Callithrix jacchus: one gene and its partners. The protein of the gene in region 4 interacts with the protein of the main gene of each other region in a pairwise test. Links are inferred from orthologs where the notes say so. Each region holds a gene or a part of one and is shown on either strand. Other genes may lie near its edges. The genes, in order: PDGFRA, ARNT, FGFR4 and MAP2K3.

Region 1 (4,083 bases), on a different chromosome or scaffold from region 4:
GTTCAAATTATTTGTTTCCCATGGCAACTTCCTGAAACTTAAGTCGGTGTTTCTGAAAACTGGCCGATCAAAACAGCCAGGGAGTTTAGAAACAGAGATTCTGGCTTCGCCCAGACTTCATACTTCAGAATCTCAGGGATGAAAACCCAGCATCTAGCGATTCTGGCTGCCGCTCACATTCAAGAACTGAGGATCCAGGCTAATGCATATGCAGCCTCTACTAAACAATACCTTTATGGTCTCGAGTTTCAAACTCTTTCTTTTTTGGGTCAAGGGTGGAAGAAGGAGGCTGATGTCTAGGCATCATTCTGACCCTTTTCAGGTTCACAGATTCAAAAAATATATAGACTGGGATTCGCTGAAGCTTTCACCAGGCATGAAGAAGAAGAAGAAGAAAAAGGCCTCTGCAAATCCAGTCTTTTTGCTGATCATTATATTTTCCATTGGGTAATATACATGAGAAATCATGTTCAGCACAGGTTTATGGCTCTACATGGAGAACTTTTAGGACTTAAGAGTTTTGTTTGTTTCTAATCCCATTATTTCAGAGGGCAGTTAATTGTTTTTAGTACCATGGACGGGGGAACCTATTCAGTACAGTTAAAAACTCTGACTTCCTGGACAACACTACTTTTACTTTGTTCTCTATGCTCAGCTAAATTTAATTCACTAAAGCTATTACCGTACTTTACAGAGAAACATGTTATTTAATATAAATGTCAAAAACTGTCAAACTTGTCACCTACTTAGTAAGGATTTTTTAAAATTGTGCTTTCTCTGGAGGGAAATCATGTTACATATTACACATTTAGCATTACTGATAACAGTAGTATTATTATAAATGTAGATTACAATACGAAAATGAGTTGTCAGCCTTCTAAATGACCCAAATCTATGAAACAAGGTTGGTTAATTATTATTCTTGATCTCTTTTAACGCTAGAAAAAAAAAAATAGTAAAATATATAGTACCAGTACCTTTTAGGGTTCAAAAGTGGTTTTTCATGCACTTCACAAAAAAGTTCAACAGCAGCTGATATCAGGTTTCAAGAGGGAAGTACATGGATGGATTGAGTGGTCTCGTCAGAAGTCCAAAGAAGACAGTTAATACAATCTACTAACACAGCCTTGGTTAGAGTTATTTACATAATTACAATGCTGAAGTTTTGTCGCTGTATAAATTGTGTCCACTGGACTCTCACCAATGCCCTTGAAATACAAAGTTCACCTTCTGTGGCCTATTATTCCCTTGTTCATCTATCTCCAAATTTCACACACCACTGAGATGCTACTGAGGCATTACAAGAGGCAATGCTGGAAAACGTTCATTTCAAAATATCCCATTCGTTCATATGTAGAAGGCTCCCCGAGGCCCTTGGCTGGGAACTTCTCTTTAAACATCAACCAAGTCCTCCTCTCAACCTCTGCATTGCAATAAAGTGGTTTTCTGAATGGGATCCAGAGGTGGCCCCAGAAGTGAAAGGAACCCCTCGAGTTGTCAGTTACAGGAAGCTGTCTTCCACCAGGTCTGAAGAGTCTATGCCGATGTCGTCCATCATGTCGATGTCTTCGATGGTCTCATCCTCTCTCTTGATGAAGGTCGAACTGCTGGAACCTGTCTCAATGGCACTCTCTTCAGAGGTCTGTGAGCTGGAGGAGGGAGAGAAGAGAAAAGGTTACAAAGCTTCTCCTGCACAGAACTAGAACTAGAGTGTGTCCCCCATCCCCAGAGACAAAGGAAAGCCTTCCGCATTCAAAATTGGGCTGCAGAGTATGGCAAGATTCTGCCCTGGCCTGACATGCTGTGCTAGGCCACATGGAAAACCAAGGTCCACCTGTCATTTTTACACTTCAGCTTTCCTGCTTTTCTGCCGGGTCTTTCATCGAAGTTGCTGAGCAGCTGCAACAATGTCTACCTTCCCTACTCAGTCCTAGTGGAAGAGAAAATAAGCAATGCCTGATCCAAAGGCCCAGGAAGGCAGAGCAGGGGGGTGAAGTCAGCTGCAAGTTGCAGCCAGGCCTGTCAGGTTCTCTCCCGGAAGCCTCCTGAGATCCAAACTGTGTTCTTAGGATCTCCTGCCACTCACCTGGAATGGCCTCTTTCCCTCTCTCTTGACAGCCAGTGCCCCCCACATCTTGAAGGCCTCCTTATGTACCACAGCAGTGGTTGAAAGGGGACTTCTGGCGTCAAAAAGTCTTCGGTCTGGAATGGTCCCATCACTTACTAGCTGCGTGATGTCACTTACTTAACTTCAACTGAGAAAGTTCAATTCCTGGTGTATCAAATTCTTCAGCTCAGCCTGCTGTCGCCCTAGAAAACTTCTAGGCACCTGTCTCATGTTATTTATTTCAATGTGACTTTCTAACTTTACTTAGAAGCAGAGCCCTTTTACAACCGAAATAGTGCTGCAGTGAACATACACATGCATGTATCTTTATAATAGAATTATTTATATTCCTTTGGATATATACCCGGTAATGGGATTAAAGGGTCAAACAGCATTTCTGCCTCTAGGTCTTCGACGAATCGCCACACTGTCTTCCACAACGGTTGAACTGATTTACACTCCAACCAACGTTGTAAAGCGTTTTTCTCCACAACCTCACCAGCATCTGCTGTTTTTTGACTTTTAAATAACAGCCACTCTGACGGGTGGGATATGGTATCTCAGATCTCGTCCTTCTTTATTGACGCATAGCAGTCCGTGGTGTATAAGTACCACATTTTCTTTATGCAGTCTACTGTCAATGGGCGTTTGGGTTGATGCCATGTCTCTGTGATTGTGAATAGTGCTGCACTGAGCATATGTATGCATGTTTTTGTGGTAGAACGATTTCTATTTCTCTGGTTATATACTCAATAATGGGATTGCTGGGTGGAATGGTAATTCTGCTTTAAGTTCTTTGAGAAATCACCACACTGCTTTCCACAGTAGCTGAACTAATTTGCACTCCAATGAGCAGTGCCTAAGCGTTCCCTGTTCTCCACAACCTCATCAGCACCTGTTATTTTTTGACTTTTTAATAATAACCATTCTGACTGCTGTGAGATGGTATCTCATCATGGTTCTGATTTGATCTAATGATCAATGATGTTGACCGTTTTTTCATGTTTGTTGGCTGCACAGATGTCTTCTTTTGAAAAGTGTCTGCTCATGTCCTCTGCTCACTTTTTAATGGAGTATGATAATATTTGTGAGATAATTTGAATTTTAACTGGCTATCTGATGCCTTAACAATCTATTGTCCCTGTTTTGGGTGAGATGATGGCATGGTAGTTATTTTTAACAACTTTTTAAATAATGTTATTAATCTTTAAAATGGAGCTCTTATCTTTAAGAGACACACACTGGAATACTTATGGGCAAAATGATACGGTGCCTAGGATTTGCTTCCAAACAATCCAGAGGAGGCTGAGGAGAGACAGACTGGCCATGCCTGCATCCAGGCTGGCAGACTGCATACTTACTGAACCTGGGTGACGGATACCAAACAGCTCACTATTCTATGTGAATTGTACACATGTTAGAAACTTTCCATAATACAACATTTAAAAGAAAGCAGAAACAAATCAGCCAGGGAGCAGTTGGCCACCACCCCCAGAGATTCCAATTTGTTGTTTTGGGTGACACTTGTATATCAGCAGTTTTTAAATCTCTGCAGGTGATTCCAGTTCACAGGTAAGGTATAGCATCAAAGGACCCGGTCCTGCCTCTCTCCACTTTTTCTCTTTTTTTTTTTTTGAGACGGAGTTTCACTGTTGTTACCCAGACTGGAGTGCAGTGGCACAATCTCGGCTCACCGCAACCTCCACCTCCTGGGTTCAAGCAATTCTCCTGCCTCAGCCTCCCGAGTAGCTGGGATTACAGGCTGCACCACCATGCCCAGCTAATTTTTGTATTTTTAGTAGAGACGGGGTTTCACCATGTTGACCAGGATGGTCTCGATCTCTTGACCTCATGATCCACCCGCCTTGGCCTCCCAAAGTGCTGGGATTATAGGCATGAGCCTCCACGCCCAGCCGTCCACTTTTTCTCTAGTTCAATGACTATTTAAGACAGGAGAGGCTCATAGGATCGCAATA
Region 2 (5,781 bases), on a different chromosome or scaffold from region 4:
ACTAATAAGAGGATCAATTTAATCTGTGCAGTATATATACAACTTCTAAGAATGTAAAGATGCTCAATAGCATAATGGGATTTTTGTTAAATTTTTAATTAAATTTGTATTAAACAATTTGTGATTGTACATGTAAAGGCAGTATAGTCTAGTGCTAAAACTGTAGTGCTAAAATGGGAGGGTGGGTATAACAAGTTTCTGGTGTCAGACTCCTTTAGTTTGCCTCCCACATTACTTACCTGCTAGATGTCCCTTGCCATTAACCTCTTTGTTTCTGTTTCCTTAACTTTCCTTAACTGCAAAATGGAAATAATAGTAGAACCTACCTCATCATTGTTGTAAGGATTAAATGAATAAATGCATATAAAGCATTTTGGACAGTGCCTAGACCAAATAGGTCAATGCTTCCTATTATCGGGAAACAGAAAATAACCAGACATGGTGGCGCCCCTGTAATTCCAGCTATCTGGGAGGCTGAGGCAGAATCGCTCTATCCCGGAGGTGGTGGTTGCCGTGAGCCGAGATCGCGCCACTGCATTCCTGCCTGGGACAGAGCAAGACTCCATCTAGGGGGAAAAAAATGAAAAAAGAAAATAGATCTGCATAGCCATCATCTTATTGATTACCTGCTAAAACCTCCTCACTGTAATTCCAGCACTTTTGGAGGCTGAGGCGGGAGGATTGCCTGAGGTCAGGAGTTGGAGACTGGTCTGGCCAACATGGTGAAACACCGTCTCTGCTAAAAATACAAAAAAATTAGCTGGGCGTGGTGGCGTGTGCTTGTAATCCCAGCTACTCGGAAGGGTGACTCAGGGGAATTGCTTGAACCAGGTAGGTGGAGGTTGCAGTCACACCACTGCACTACAGCCTGGGCCTCCGCCTCAAAAAACAAAAAGGAAACAAAAAAACTCCTCATTGTGTCCCTATCACTGACCAAAGGAAGTTAGCCACTCTGCAAATACTTTCTTCATCCATTGCCTCCAGTTTTTGCTGTTGCTATCTCCCATACCAAACCGTTAACACCCGGATCCTTTTATATTACAAATTCCATAGCAGGCATTCAAAAATTAGTCACTGCCGGGCACGGTGGCTCACGCCTGTAATCCCAGCACTTTGGGAGACCGAGGCGGGCGGATCACGAGGTCAAGATATCGAAACCATCCTGGCCAACATGGCAAAACCCCGTATCCACTAAAAATACAAAAATTAGCTGGGAGTGGTGTCGCGGGCCTGTAGTCCCAGTTACTGGGGAGGCTGAGGCAGGAGAATTGCTTGAACCCGGGAGGCGGAGGTTGCGGCGAGCCGAGATCGCGCCACTGCACTCCAACCTGGCGCCTGGCGACAGAGTGAGACTCTGTTTCAAAAAAAAAAATAAGTCATTTAACTTTTTTCACCAAGGACAAAAGTCTTTAAAAGGGGGAAAAAACTGGAAAGGATTACAAATCACCATATGAAGTTTAAGTATTAGAGCACCTACAGGGGATTTACAAGATAAATTGTTTGCAGGGCAACCACTCAGACGAATCCACCAGCAAGCGAAGGTTTTTAGTAAAATACCTATTTTTTTTTTTTTTGAAACGGAGTTTCACTCTTGTTGCCCAGGCTGGAATGCTGAGGCACAAACTTGGCTCATTGCAACCTCCGCCTCCCAGGTTCAAGCTTTTCTTCTGCCTCAGCCTCCCAAATAGCTGGGATTACAGGCATGCGCCAATTTTGTATTTTTAATAGAAACGGGGTTTCGTCATATTGGCCAGGCTGGTTTCGAACCCCTGACCTTAGATGATCCACCAGCCTCGGCCTCCCAAAGTACTGGGATTACAGGCGCGAGCCACCTCACCGGGCCTAAAATACCCGTTTTAATTGTATTTCAATGACATCACTTGGTCATTGACCTCTTACGCAAGGAGGGCGGGGTTAGGAAGACAGCTGGACTTCTTCCTCGCCCTCCCTCCCGTGGACTGGCTGGCGCAGTGACTAGCCCTGCCCTTAGTCGATTTGGCATTTTCAGTGGTCAGTTTTTTCCTAGGAGGCTGGCCGTGTGTTGACTCCGCCCACCGTACAGGCGGGGTCTCTCCGCTACAGAGGCTGGGATGGTGGGGGTTGCTGAAGCCGCCATCTTGGATTCCGCGGTAGCGGAGGCAGCGGTTAGGCGCCGCTTCTGGGGAGTGGCCTTTCTCTCCCCCTCCCTCCCGGTTCGGTGGCGGTGGCTCCTCCCACTGGGGGGGGTGGCGCGGCGGCGGTGGCATCCACGGCCATGGCGGCGACTACTGCCAACCCCGGTGAGGAGACGGAGGACTGGGGCGCCTCTAAAGGGGAGGGGCTGAAGGGGCTGACAACTGAGGAGACCCAGGACTGAGGGGACGGAGCTGGAGCTGAAGGCGCCGGGGCGGGGCAGGGCCGCGAGGGGACAGTGGGGGAGCGGTGACCCGGGGAGGGGCCTGACCCTGAGTACTTGGGTAGACTCGAGGTGGAGGGAGCGAGGGAGTTGGGGGCTCCCTGTCCTGAGCTCCGCTGGAGCTGCGGCCGGTGCGGGGCTGGCCCCCCCTCGCTTCTCGGGCGGCGTCTGGTCTGTGATGTGGTCCTCTCTTAACCCTCTGCTCGCTGGAGCCGCTTGATGCCGAAAACTGTAGGCAGAGCGGCTCGGTTTGCTTTAAGGATAGTTTGGATTTAGGGCTAGCTGGACCATATTGCTCTTTAGTTGAGGTGTTGCTTCCAAACATTTAAAGGTTTAGAATTTAATTAAAAAAATTAAAAATGGACATTATTTGATATATACGACGTTTCTTTAGGCTGTTACCTCCCACCCGCAACCCCGGACTATGCTTTGAAACTTAGGTCTTGTTTTAAGAAGGCCTGTAGTGTCTTTGCCTGCTGAGGGCAGGGGTTTGTATAATGGTTGTGGTTCCGGACAGGTCTTTGGTCCACGGCCCCAGGTTTAAATCTTGTTAGGCCCGGGTCGATGCAATCTCCAAACTCTTTCAGAAAAGTTTGATTCCACACCGTTTCTCAGTTTCAAATAATAACCAAATATCAAAAAGATCTCACCTTTCTTGTCTAAGAGATGGAGTAGGCTTTAGTGTAGGTCTAGAGAGATGAGATCTTCAAATTACTAGTCCCAGCCCTCTTTCCTCTATGTTACAGTTATTTCTCCTTAGAAGGTATTTCATTTTAGGGGCCTAGTTCATCTCGCTGACCTTGGTCATTTTTGCAAAATAAAGTCTATCCTTTCCCAGAAACCAGTATATTTGATAGCCTTAAAAAAAAAAAAAAAGCCTTGAGGGGTGTGTGTGTGTGTGTGTGTGTGTGTGTCTGTTGTGGGGTTGGGGGGTGGGCAGAGAATTTCTTGAAAATACAACAGTGGGAGTGATTCCCCCATCCCCACGTTGAAATTTAAGTTAGATTTGTTTTTCATGTTACTGAAAGGTGGTATTATTTTGTGATACCCAAATTTTGATAGGACAGTTGAATCACTGAAATTTCTTTTTCACCATGTTTCTGGGAACAGCTGTTTTAAGAAATGGTTAATTTGTTACATGTCATCTTTTAAAAATCTTTACATTTTTTTTTAAAGGAAAGGGAGGTAAAATTAATGGCAAAAATTACATTGCAGGAAGTGCTGAGTGATGGAATAAAACTGTAAAACAGGAAAAATACCGTTAACGGCAAACCTGACCTTGTAGTAAAATAACCTATCCGTGAACTATGGAGTAAATAAACAAGATTTTTAACTGATCACACATTGCAAAATACTTATATAATCCTAGTTAAATTGCAAAGCATTTCTCATTAAAAAGTGGCCCGGGTAAACAAGTTTTAGTTCTTATGTCAGAAGCTTTTTTCCAGCTGTGTGGGTGGGGTTGCTATATTTTGTTTTGTTTTTTAAACACCAGCAACCAGAATGACAGCCTCTTGACCGTATTTTCGTAAGCTGATCAATATCAGCTTAAATCTCAGCAGAAAGAGAGAGAGAGAGAGAGAGAGAGAGAGAGAGAGTGTGTGTGTGTGTGTGTGTGTGTGTGTGTGTGTCAAGAGCACACAGAATCCTTGTTAATGAAACAGTTTTTTTTTTTCTCTTACTGTGCTTTGGCTGCCTTGCTTCTGCAATTTTTAGATCCTTTCTTTTTTCTTTTCTCCTCTATTCTTTTTGACACAGGGTCTTGCTCCTTGTTCTGTCACGCAGGCGAGAGTGCAGTGGCAAGATCACTGCTCATGGTAGCCTCCACCTCTGGGGCTCAAGTGATCCTCTCACCTCAGTCCTTAACCTCTCACCTGAATAGCTGGCACTGCAGGTGCCTTGCCACTATGCCCACTTAATTTTTAAATTTTTTTTGTAGAGACAGATGTCTTACTATGTTGCCCAGGCTGTTCTTGATCTCCTGGTCTCAAGCAAGACTTGTCTCAGTATGTCAAAGTTGGGAATACAGATGTGAGACACTTTGCCTGGCCAGATTTCTTTTTTGATGTTGAAAAATTCTGTCTCTTCTAACTTATTGATCCCATGTTCAGTTCAAACAAATCAAAAGATGTATTTTCTTTTTTTTTTCTCCCTTTGTACTTTTATATCAAGAGGAAGAGATCATAGATACATTGTGGATTTTTTTTTTTTTTTTTTTAAATAGAGATGGGGTTTCACCCTGTTATCCAGGATGGTCTTGAACTCGACCTCATGATCCACCTGCCTCAGCCTTCCAAAGTGCTGGGATTACAGGTGTGAGCCCTCATGCCCAGCCTACATTGTGGATTTTTTCAGCAGTCTGTTGCATTTTGGGAAATGAGATTAATGAATGGAGGGACATTATGTGGAAATGTACTGTGCTCAGTGAAAAGAAAGTAAATGGTTTTCAGGTCAGAATTCTTTGCTACATTGTCATACCTTATTTCCTTAGAGCCGTTTTAAGGACCAGGGACATCATGAGTTTTTTCTACTTCGTATTTTTGCTGGAGTACTAATTTTTTTTTTTTTTAAACAATTTGTTTTTTTTAAACAAATTATTGTTAGTTTTGGCTAGAAGTTTTTTTTAGGACAGAGTTTTGCCCTTGTTGCCCAGGCTGGAGTGCAATGGTGCGATCTCGGCTCACTGCAACCTCTTCCTCCTGGGTTCAAGCGATTCTGCCTCAGCCTCCTGAGTAGCTGGGATTATAGGCATGTGCCACCACACCTGGCTAATTTTGTATTTTTAGTAGAGGTGGAGTTTCTCCATGTTGGCAAGGCTGGTCTCGAACTCCTGACTTCAGGTGATCCTCCACCTTGGCCTCCCAAAGCGCTGGGATTAAAGATGTGAGCCGCTGCTCCTGGCCAAGATGATTTAAAAAAATATTTCACTCTTCTCTTGAAGCTTCATTTAAGTTAATCCTTTTTAAAAATATATGTATTTTTATTTTTGAGACAGGGTCTCCCAGACTGTAGTGCAGTGGTGTAATCATGCTCACTGCAGCCTTGAACTCCAGAGCTCAAGTGATTTTCCTGCCTCAGCTTCCTGAGTATCTGGGTCTATAGACACACATCACCTCACCTGGATACATTTTTTAACTTTTTGTAGAGATGGGATCTTGCTATGTTACCCAGGCTGGTCTTGAACTCCTGGCCTCAAGCAATCTTCCCACCTCAGCCTCCTAAACTGCTGGGATTATAGGTGTGAGCCACTGACTCAGCCAAGTTAATCCTTAGGGTTAGTAACACTGCTTGATCATGTTAATTGTGCTGGTGGCCCTGAAGTGTTTTTCAAGGGATCCAGGTTCCTCTGCATTTTTCACTGTTGGTGTTGCATTAGAAGAAGAGTA
Region 3 (5,079 bases), on a different chromosome or scaffold from region 4:
TACTCTACATGACACGAGGGGAAACTGAGGGTCAGAAGTCACTTGCCAGGGTCAGGAGTGGAGTTGAATTGCAGGCTTAAGGGTGGGATCCTGCAGCCTCTCCCAGCTCCAAGGTTCACCTGGTAGCACCGTGAGCCCCAGTGCCATAGCACCGCCTCCAGGCTGTCACATTCACCTTTTATTTTTCTTTTCTCTCTCTTTTTTTTTTTTTTTTTTTGAGACGGAGTCTCCCTCTGTTGCCCGGGCTGGAGTGCAATGGCATGGTCTCAGCTCACTGCAACCTCTGCCTCCTGGGTTTAAGTGATTCTCCTGCCTCAGCCTCCAGAGTAGCTGGGATTACAGGTGACCACCACCACGCCTGGCTAATTTTTTTGTTTTTTTGAGACAGTCTCGCTCTGTCACCAGGTTGGAGTGCAGTGGCGTGATCTTGGGTCTCTACAACTTCTGCCTTCCAGGCTCAAATGATTCTACTGCATCAACCTCCCGAGTAGCTGAAACTACAGGTGTGTGCCACCATGCCCAGCTAATTTTTGTATATTTAGTAGAGACAGGATTTCATCATGTTGGCCAGGATGGTCTTGATCTCTTGACCTCATGATCCATCTGCCTCAGCCTCCCAAAGTGCTGGGATTACAGGCGTGAGCCACTGTGCCTGGCCTAAAATTTTTCTGTTTCTAGTAGAGATGTGCTGGTCTCAAACTCCTGACTTCGTGATCCGCCCGCCTCAGCCTCCAAAAATGCTGGAATTACAAAGACATGAGCCATTGCGTCTGGCCTATTTTTATTTATTTATTTTTAGAAAGGGTCTCACTCTGTTGCCCAGGGTGGAATACTGTGACTTGATCATGGCTCATTGCAACCTCCAACTCCTGGATTCAAAGGATCCTCCTGCCTCAGCCTTCCTAGCAGCTGGGACTAAAGGTACATACCGCTACACTCAGCTAATTTTCTTACTCTTTTTGTAGAGATGGAGTCTCACCATATTGCCCAGGCTACCTCAAACTCCTGGATTCAAGCAATCCTCCTCCTACCTTGGCCTCCCAAAGGGCTGACATTACAGGTGTGAGTCACTGCACCCAGCCACACTCACCTTTGAGCATCTTGACGGCCACAGTGCTGGCTTGGTCAGGTTGGGCAGGGTCCATGCCAAAGGCCTCTGCACATATTACCTGCCCAAAGCAGCCCTCGCCCAGGGGCTTCCCAAGCACCAGCCTGGAGATGGAGAGAGTGCATGCCTCAGACCTCCGAATCACTCCTGATAAGGGTGGGTTGCAACCCAGCGCCCGTGTCCCCGCCCCCACACAGCTCAGCGCACCTGTCCCGGGGGAACTCCCATAGTGGGTCGAGAGGTAGGTCTAGACTCACGGGGCCGGCGAGCAAGGCAGGGCCGTTGGAGGAGAGACGTACACCTCGCACCAGGGATAAGCTTGACTTGCCGGAGGAGCCTGACTCCAGGGAGAACTGCAAAGTGGGAGACTTGGTTCTGCCTGCTAGAGTCAGGCTGCAACACACAAGGTGGGGGATGCGCCCAATACCTGTCGGGCCAGAGGGAAGCGGGACAACTTCTGCACAGTGGCAGGCTGGCGGGGGTGCCGGCCGTGGAGTGCCTGCCCTCGATACAGCCCAGCTAGCAGCAGGAGTACAGCCAAGGCCAGGGAGCCCGACACGTACAGGATGATGTCCGTATACCTGGCCTCAGGCACTGCTGCAGTCCACGTGAGGTCCTCCTCTGCCCTCGCACATGAATACACACAGACAGACAAACGGGTCAGTGGCGAGACTGGCCGTCCCATGCGCCCCACTCAGGCCTTCCCAGCTCCCAACATGCATGGGGACACAAACGGAGGAAGGTGTAGTTATGCCCAGTCCCAGGTTCCCATACCTCAGCAGAGGGTCACATGGACAGCCACATGTAGAGAGGGGGTGTCATACAGCTCAAAAACACAAATCCACACACTGCCTCACAGGCCAGACCCCACAGACCAATAGAGACTGACCACCGGACAGGCCACGTCCCCCATGGCTGGACCAGAGGGGCACCTTGCAGCATCTCCTGGTCCCTCAGGTGCTCACCTGGCAGCACCGTGAGCCAGGCCGACTGGTAGGAGAGGCCGATGGAATTGCCTGCGAGGCAGGTGTACTCGCCTGCGTCCTCGGCTGACACGTTCCGCAGGTACAGGACCTCCACCTCTGAGCTATTGATGTCTGCAGTCTGGGGAGGGGGACATATTCTGGGGTCACAGCAGGGCCTGGGGCCACACAGAGGCCAAGATGGAAGCTGGGGACCCCCCAACCCCAGGTGGGAGAAGAGTGGGACCCAGGCTGTAGCAGGGACTGTACCTTTAGAACTTGCACATAGGGGAAGCCGTCGGCCCCAAAGCTGCTGCCATTGATGACAATGTGCTTCAGCCACTGGATGTGGGGCTGGGCATCACTGTATACCTTGCACAGCAGCTCCACATCACTGCCTACCACGGCTGTGGTGTTAGCCGGGAGCCCAGCCTGCAGGATGGGCCGGTGTGGGGACCGCTCTGGGGACCAGGCGAGGTGGTCAGCCCTGATTACCAGCACCCATAGAAGCACCCTGTTTGTCTCCCTCCAGCCTTCCTCAAGTTCAAGGGAAGGACCTTTCTGCAGCTTATTGTCCTGATTACCCTGCTTAAACCTTCCCTGGCTCCCCATTGCTTCGGGTCAAGGATGACATCTCAGCCTAGCATTCAAAACCCTCCACCACCTGGCTTTCCACATAAATGCCACGCCCTAGGTATATGCTGGACTGCAAGTGCAGGGCGTTCGTTATACTTAGGCCCTCAGCTCAGGCTGCGCCCTCAGCCTGGATGTCCTTCTTGCTTTTCCTCTTAGCAGACCCCTGCTCATCCAGTGCCACACTAACTCCTGTGCTTTTCCCTGACCCACCTGGTCGCTGAGCTGCTTGACTCATCTGAGTCCATCCTGCCTGCCAAGCTAGGCCCCACCAGAGGGCACAACTGAGCCCAAGACAGTCAGGCCTCCCCAATTCCCTGCCCCATGCTCACCCAGCACATCTAGCAGGTAGCTGTATTGGATGCTGCCCACAGAGTTCTCCACCAGGCAGGTGTATGTGCCGCGGTCCGAGGGCACCACACTCTCCATCACAAGGCTCCAGTGCTGATGGCGCAGCTGCAGACAGAGGGAGTGTGCCCATGGGACCACCAGACCACATCCACCAAGGGGGGCCAGGGGACCAGGAGCCTAGATCCTCATCCTGCCCATAGGGCTTTTCTCAAGCTCTCTAGGCCCCGAGGACATCAGGCCCAGGCCAAGGACTATGGGACAAAGGAGAAGGCTCCCCAAAGTCCTGAGCCTTGGGTCTTTTGAGTTTTAGCTCTCCCTCTCCCTATCTGTGCCACTCTAAGCCAGCCCTTGCCTTCTCTGAGACTCAGTTGCCTCATGATAGCATGGAGCTGACTCAGTAGGGTCTCATCAAGATGATGAGATGCTAAGGCTTATTGATACCATACCAGTCAGTGATTCTTCTTACTTTATAAATGGAGTTGCTGAGGCTGAGAGGTTAAGTCACTTGTCAGAGAGTGGCAGAAGAGGAACTTGAACCAGAGCTCGCCAAGTCCACAGTCTAGGGCTCCTTCTGGGGTCCCACACTCACCCGAATGCCTCCAATGCGATTCTCCCCATGAAAGGCCTGTCCATCCTTAAGCCAGCGGATGGTGGGTGTGGGGTTGCCTGCAGCTGGACAGCGGAACTTGACGGTGTTCCCAGCAGGTACCGCATGCAGTTTCTTCTCCATGCGCTGGGGGTGTGTCCAGTAGGGTGCTGGGGTCGGGGGGAAGGCCCTTAGAATGACTGTGTTCCTACACAGGCCTCTTCTCAGTGACCAGATGAGCAGTGCGGATGCAAGTCCTTGAAGACTTATACTGACCTTGCTGGGGGTAAATATGCCCATTCGAGGAGTCCCTAAGGGATTTGGGGTCCTCATCATCATTGCTGGAGGTCAAGGAGTCTATATCAGGGAGAGAGGGAGGTGTCTGAGGTCCAAGAAGGGCAGGTCTCTCTTCCTAGGCATCCCTTAACTCACTGCTAGAGTCTCTTACCATCTATAACCAAGGTGAGATTCTGCAGGACGATCATGGAGCCTCGTGCCAGGCAGAGGTAGCGGCCAGCATCCTCAGGTAGGAAGCTGGCAATCTCTAGGCGGCCTCTCCAGCCCCGTACACGGCCAGCAGGTGCCAGGCGACTGCCCTCCTTGTACCAGAGGCCACCATGCTCAGCTTGCCCACAGCACAGCTGGACAGGCTGCCCAAGGGCTACTGTCAACTCCTGCTCTTGCTGCTCCAGGCTGGGAGCCAGGCAGGGCTCTGTGGGCAGAGGGCAGAGGTCAGCAGACCCTGCAGCCCCATCCGAGGCAGCCTCCTGCATAGAGAACATGCCGCACATGCAGGGCACAAGCACCTCACAATGCATGCTAGAGGGGCCAGCATCCTTGAAACTCACATTACCACATGCTGCGGATGCCACACCCAGGGCAAATGCCACACTCTTGGGGCATGTCACACACACAGCATTTAGTGCACATGCCACTGCCCAAGACACACATACACACATACACACACGCACACATGGCACATGCCATTGGTGCCACATACAGGGCTCATGCTACACCTCTGGGCATATCACACTCATAATGCATATACCACATGCTGCCTGGGCCTTCTAGGCCACACATCCAGTGCACAGCACACACACACACACACACACAGACACACACACACACGCACACACACACACACACACCCAGGCAAGGAGCTCACCAACTGCTCTGCATCCCAGCTCAGAGCCCTGCGCCCTGCAAGGCCAGTCCTCTCTCGCAGACACAGAGATAGATGGATGCTTGCTGGAAGCCAGGCACTGACTGAGTCTCAGTGATTGGGCCCTGCCCTGCTGCCACCTTCTCAGGGCCTGGGCAAGGATCCTTTCCAGCTTTACTCAGCCCAGCAGCCCCCTCCTGGTGCCCACTCTTCCCACCCCTGCCACCCTCTCCCACCTCAGAAGCCATACCCAGCTCCACTTCCTCAGAGGCCTCCA
Region 4 (5,694 bases):
TTACAGAGTGCAGCGAGTGGACCAGCTGCAACTTGTCCAATGTCACATCGCAAAAGGGATGGAGCTGGGGCATGCGCTCAGGCAGTTAGGCTCTGGAGACTGAGGTCTCACAGCCCCTCCACATAACCACCTTCCAGGAACTCAGGCCGGGTCCCACCCCAGCCTACCCTGCACCACCTCTGCTGCTCACCCCCCCGAGTCCCAGCTGCACAGCTGAACCTGAGGAGTCCCCTGGGCCAAAGGCAGTAAACAGCCACTGCCACCTGCTCCTGCTCCGTGAGCAAGAGGAAGCAGAGCCCCTTGCCTAATAGAGGAAGTTCCTGGGTGGGGCACAGAGGGCCTGCCCAGGGGGTCCCAGCCCAGCCCGAGGTCCCGGAAGGGGCCACCTCCAGTGCCCCAGCTCAGGGCTAGGTGCCACCTGCAGGACACGTAACCCCCTCCCCACCCACCAGGCTGGTGGCATCGCCCCTTTAAGCTGTAGGCAGCCGGCTGGCATGCCCAGCGGGTGAGTCAGCACCCAGTGCCCGCTGACTCATGGCCGGAAGCCTCCGTGGTCCCGGCCTTCTCCTCACACAGGCCAACTGAGAACTTTGCTCCCTTTGGGCCCTGGGCCATGGGTTGGCTGACAGAGAGTTTCCTGTGCGTCACAAGAGGGGTGGGGGAAGTCCCCGAGGTGCCACCTCCAGTCTTTCTGACAGCCGAAGGTGGGGGAGGGTGGCCACACCAGGCAGGGCTAGGACATGGCTGTGCTCCGTGAAGCCTCGGTGTTCCCATGGGGCAGTCAGGAGTCCGGAGCCACGGTCCAAGCCATGTGAAAATTAACCATGAAGTGCCTCCACAGGTGGCACTCTTAGGGCAGAAGGGCAGAACCCATGCTCTGAACGACGACAGGACATGTGTGGTACCCTGCAAGGACAAAGGTGGCTTGCACACATGCCCCTGCCCACTGGCCCAAAGATGACCATGTGGGCAAGGAGGCCAGGGGAAGACCAGCAGAGCTCCGGGCCTGAGGGCTGCACACACACAGAAAACTCCCCAGGCCGATGGCACGGAGGACGGAGGACGGGGCCGGGTACCTGCTGCATGGCAGGAAGCTCAAAGGTAAAGCTCCAGTAAGGTCAAGCGCCAGCCACTCCCTGCCGTGTTCAAATTCCTTTGAGAAGGTGGAGAAGGCTCTGTGCTGGGAGGCCCAGTGCCCAGGATGGGGCGGGCATGGGGCGAGGATCTCCACCTATTGGGGCAGGCCGGCCATCCTCCCTCCAAGCTCAGTTCTGCATCTGTCAAATGGGTCAGATTGCAGTGAATATGCCTCAGGCCCAGCGTGAAGCGCTGTGCACAGGAAAGGCAGCACCTCTGCTTCAGTCTGTCCTGGAGGTCTGACATGGCCATGAGGATAGGCCCACTGCACAGGCTGTGAGCAAGGCCAGGGGTGAGGGTGTCCCACCCACTCAGCTCAGGCATCTAGCATGGGAGCGGCACACAGGGGGTCACTGGGAAGACCTCTGTGGAGACACACAGTCCTGGGGGAACCCTAGTACACCTGTCACCTCTGTGTGGCCTCAGGCAAGGCACTTAATGCCTCTGGGCCTCAGTTTCCTTATCTGTAAATGGGGCTGTGAGGAATGAATGAGGAAATGCATGGCACATGGAAAAAAAGAAGGAGCTCACAGGGATTTTGGTGAGGGGCACTGTGGCTCTGCCACCACATACTTCTCCAGACCCCGAAGAGGCTATAGAGTGCCTGGGCCTGAGGGAGGTCCCTGACCCTCCATTCAGCCCACCCAACCTCATCTGGGACCTGGGTTCACATCTAGAAGTTCATCCTGGCCTTCTCACAGCGCTCCCACCACCTCTGTGACCCCTCTCCCTGCACAACTCTGCAACTGGAGCTTTTATTTTGCTGAGGCATTCCCTGCCTGGAGAGCTAAAAAAGCCTCCAAAACAAACAGTGCTTCTTACCCCTCCCCGAGCTCTCCAGAGTGGAGAAGTGTCTGATTTCCCGGTTCCCAAGCTCCACGAGGTCTGTGCAGTGAAGTCCCTCTTCAGATGCCTCCCCCGGCGAGTGCCTCCTGAGTTACTCACAGTGGTTGGGCAGTTGTCAGGGATCCAGCCTCCCACTTATGTAAGGCATAATTATTCTGCCCACCCGGCTCCAGCCACCACAGCAGCCAGCAGCAGGGGCCAGGAAGAGCCCATGCCCTCCCCAGACCCCCATAGGGCTTCCACTGGCATGCACCCTCCAGGGCAGGAGAGTGGTTGACCCCTGATGAGGGGGTGCCCGCTGCTACCTGCCTCCTGCTCACTCTGCAGTGGAGTCCCAGCAGCGGGGGCCTTTCCAGCAAGAATGAAAGCAACAGCGGGATGCATGCAGCCGGTGTCCCCTGGTGAGCACTGGCCCTCGCCAGGCTCTCTTTGAGTGAAAGAACGCCTCAGAGCTCATTAGCATTCACCACCCCACACCCCACTCCCGCGTCCACAGAAGCAGGTGTGATGACTTCCAATTTACAGAAAAGAAAACTGAGACCCAGAGACACCAGGGAGCTTGCTGGGGTGAGGCAGCCCATTCATTACAGCTATGTCCGGTTTGGAAATCTCTCACAACACAGCCTGCTGAAACTCCGACGCACCAAAAACATCCTCTCCTCTTCCTGAAAAAAAAAAATTCCCCTTCTGCCCTCCAAGTCTCGTCCTTCCCCCCTCCGCATGACAAATCCTGCTGCCGCCACCTCACAAAAATTTCCAGGAAAGCCAGCTACTTGGAGAAGAGCAAATCCCTTGCACAGCCAGCACCCTGGCCTGGCGGCTGGCCCAGATCCCAGGCAGCTGGGACGGGAACCAGATGGGGTGAGCGCCCCAAGTGCAGGGAGAAGCTTGCAACTCAGAGAGGAGTCGGTACAGAGGGGGCTGCACCTTACGGAGGGGTGAGAGGACAAGGGAGGTTCCTGGGGACACAGGACTGCAGGACGGGGTGGAGGTCAGCCAGGGAAGGGGTAACATAGGGCCTAAAGGAGAGGGAGAGTTGGGGGAGAGGAGGTCAGGCGGTTCTGAGCTGGGGTATAGCCAGAGCACCCACATAGGGGCTACAGTGAGGCCCGCAACAACAGGAGCACTCTGGGGCCCAGATGGAGACGCAAGCGATATCCCAGCCTAGATACAGCCCTGGGTCCCGAAACTGGACGTGGGACTGGGTGCTGACCAAGGATCCAGGTGGGGGCCAGTGTGAATCTCACCCGGGTCCCGCTGACGGAGAAGATTGGGAGAGTTCCTGTCTAGGCTGCAGCCATAAGGCCCAAATGAGGTCAGAGTGGGGCTCCTGACTTGGATGGGTGGGAACAAAGTCCTCGCCTGGGTTCAGCCTGGGTGATCTCGAGCCTGAGTGCAGTCCCAAGGCCTAACCTGGGGATCCAGGTGAGGTCCCAGGCTGGGGCCGGTCCTGGGAACCCAAACAGGAAGGGGTTCCGGGACAGGGCGCCGCTGCTAGGTCAAGGACAGGATAGGGTGGGACCACAGAACGGTCAGAGTTTGCAGCCCGACCCCAGACTGGGCCCGGGGTCAGGACAAGGTTCCGGCGGGGAGCGCCTACCTTTGGACTGGGGCATGCTGGCGGGCTGGCTCGAGGCTGGCGACTCCATGCTGCAGACCGGTCCGGGACGGCGGCGGGGACTAATCTAGAGGACAGCGGGCTCCACCGGGGCCGAGCACGCTCATGGCTGCGGGCAGATAGCCCGGGTCAGGCGGAGGAGCAGAGGCACGCGGCAGCGACTGCAGCGGGACGCGTCCGCAACTGGCGGCGCCAGAGCCAGACTGGGCAGCGCCCGGTGTACCCCGGCCGAACAGCGCTAACTTAGGCCCCACCCCTGCGTGCCGATTGGCCCTCCCGTTTCCAAGGCCTGTACCCCGCCTATCAGACGCCGGCTGTCCCTGCCTATCAAACATACGCCCAACCACCCCGTGGGCCCAAGATCCTGGTCCCTCTCGCTCTCTGTCAAGTCCGCCCGCCGCCCGAAAAAACAAGGCCCGGCCAGACTCCGCCCTCCTGATCTAAAGCCTCGCCCCTCGCGCTGCCCGTCAACACGCAAGCCCCGCCCACTCCCGGGACCCACTGAGCCCGCAACTCCCTGCTGGCGCCAGACCCCCCCCAGCACCCCCAGACCCCGCCCAGCACCTCCAGACCCGCAGCCCCGGCGGGTGCGCTGCGAGGGCGCGTTCTCCTGGGTGCTTGGTCTGGAAAAACCCCGAGATCCCCAAAGGTGGTGCGGCTGGGCCTGGCGAGGAGGCCGGGGGTTAAAAGCAAGCTGCTGGGTTGAGACCGGGTTTCAGATACGAGTCGGCAACTTTGCAGCGGGACTGGCCTCGGGCAGGTCGTGACACCTGAGCCTCAGTCTAAGCCTCTGTGAGCGGGCGGCGGTGACAGCCACCTCCCGGCGCTGCTCGCTAACACGCACGGAGAGCCCCGCGCCAACAAACGTTCACTTGAGCCCGGGCACCAGGCGCCAGTCCAGGGCGTGGAGTCGGTGGTGAGCTCAGCGATGCCCGGTGACAAGGCAGCACGAGGAGCTTTCGTGGCTGGTTACTGTTGCCCCTGTTCTACACAGGGGGAAACTGTGTCTCAGAAGGAGTGAGGTGGCATGCGGTGCATTTTATCCCGCGAGCCCCAGGCCCCATCCCGGCTCTCTCCTGGGCCTTGGTTCTCTCCACTCCTGCTAAGACCTCAGTCTGCTCATCTGCATAATGGGTGGATGGGCCAGTCCTCCCTCTGCTCCCACACAGAACCTGGGGGAATTTCAGGAACCGCTGACCAATCTGGTGCTGGGATCAGGTGACTCTGGATGTAAATCCAGGGCTAGTGAGGGCAGAATGTGCCAGGCAAAGGGCAATGGGTCAGCCCCTGGCCTCCAGGCAGACATGAGTGTGTACCCTGTCAGGGACCTCACGTGAGGGAAGCAGATTCCACCACCTGCCAGAACGCTTGAGGCCAGGGCTGACCTCTGCTTGCCCAGGTGTAAAGTGGGGGTGATGCAGGCCCCGTGCACACAGCGGCGGGGAGGGCCACGTGAGATAAGAGGGAAGCCTTGGAGTCATCACCTTTCTCTTCCTGCATCTCCTGTTTACCCTTCCCAGGTCATGGGGTGGAAATCATGAGCCTGGGGCTCAGACCCGTACAAACTCCAACACCAGCTCCCCCACTTACTAGCTGGGTGACCTTGGAGAAGTCACTGAGAAGCTCTGTCCCTCAGTTTATCTATCCCATGGGGACAGTAAGGACTCTGAAAGCATTTCATGAGTTCAGGAGTGGAAATACCTGGCCTAGGGCCTGGCACTCACTAGGTGCCCACGAAATGTGAGTTTGTGAATACTGTGGGCTTCCTCCATCCTGGCCATATCATCCCTGGTGACCTGCGCTTACCCATCTGTAAAATGGGCATCCAGCAGCCATTTCCTTTCTACCAGAATTGCAAGCCTGGTCCAGCGAGTTTTCCGGGTTCAAGCCCCAGCCAACGGCCTTGACTCCTGCTCCCCCACACTCCGCCTTGTGCACTGTGCTCCTTGGGATGTTCAAGAATCTTAGTGTGCCCCTCAAATGTGCCAGGGATGGTTCTGCTGCAGGGGCTTCACCCTTGCTGCTACTGCCCAGAACATTCCTCCACTCAAGCCTCCTGGGGCTGGTTCCCTCTCATCCCTCAGACTGCCTCC

Evidence for each region.
Region 1: the proteins of MAP2K3 (region 4) and PDGFRA come close enough for resonance energy transfer, tested with the Homo sapiens proteins (2 studies listed by BioGRID). The link is inferred for Callithrix jacchus from reciprocal best matches to the Homo sapiens genes MAP2K3 and PDGFRA.
Region 2: the proteins of MAP2K3 (region 4) and ARNT come close enough for resonance energy transfer, tested with the Homo sapiens proteins (2 studies listed by BioGRID). The link is inferred for Callithrix jacchus from reciprocal best matches to the Homo sapiens genes MAP2K3 and ARNT.
Region 3: the proteins of MAP2K3 (region 4) and FGFR4 come close enough for resonance energy transfer, tested with the Homo sapiens proteins (2 studies listed by BioGRID). The link is inferred for Callithrix jacchus from reciprocal best matches to the Homo sapiens genes MAP2K3 and FGFR4.

What each region holds. Positions count from the first base shown.
Region 1 is NC_133504.1:142,462,105-142,466,187, forward strand, and holds the end of PDGFRA (platelet-derived growth factor receptor alpha precursor), read right to left. Parts: intron 1,650-4,083; coding exon 1,502-1,649; 3' UTR 1,239-1,501; downstream 1-1,238. UniProt on the Homo sapiens protein: Tyrosine-protein kinase that acts as a cell-surface receptor for PDGFA, PDGFB and PDGFC and plays an essential role in the regulation of embryonic development, cell proliferation, survival and chemotaxis.
Region 2 is NC_133519.1:10,773,510-10,779,290, reverse strand, and holds the start of ARNT (aryl hydrocarbon receptor nuclear translocator), read left to right. Parts: upstream 1-2,119; 5' UTR 2,120-2,254; coding exon 2,255-2,279; intron 2,280-2,443; exon of another isoform or gene 2,444-2,547; intron 2,548-5,781. UniProt on the Homo sapiens protein: Required for activity of the AHR. Upon ligand binding, AHR translocates into the nucleus, where it heterodimerizes with ARNT and induces transcription by binding to xenobiotic response elements (XRE).
Region 3 is NC_133503.1:69,050,375-69,055,453, forward strand, and holds part of FGFR4 (fibroblast growth factor receptor 4), read right to left. Parts: coding exon 5,053-5,079; intron 4,353-5,052; coding exon 4,089-4,352; intron 3,998-4,088; coding exon 3,917-3,997; intron 3,811-3,916; coding exon 3,644-3,810; intron 3,160-3,643; coding exon 3,036-3,159; intron 2,532-3,035; coding exon 2,341-2,531; intron 2,213-2,340; coding exon 2,074-2,212; intron 1,730-2,073; coding exon 1,536-1,729; intron 1,462-1,535; coding exon 1,316-1,461; intron 1,213-1,315; coding exon 1,091-1,212; intron 1-1,090. UniProt on the Homo sapiens protein: Tyrosine-protein kinase that acts as a cell-surface receptor for fibroblast growth factors and plays a role in the regulation of cell proliferation, differentiation and migration, and in regulation of lipid metabolism, bile acid biosynthesis, glucose uptake, vitamin D metabolism and phosphate homeostasis.
Region 4 is NC_133506.1:64,702,713-64,708,406, forward strand, and holds the start of MAP2K3 (dual specificity mitogen-activated protein kinase kinase 3), read right to left. Parts: upstream 3,807-5,694; 5' UTR 3,633-3,806; coding exon 3,584-3,632; exon of another isoform or gene 1,960-3,583; intron 1,278-1,959; exon of another isoform or gene 1,077-1,277; intron 1-1,076. UniProt on the Homo sapiens protein: Dual specificity kinase. Is activated by cytokines and environmental stress in vivo. Catalyzes the concomitant phosphorylation of a threonine and a tyrosine residue in the MAP kinase p38.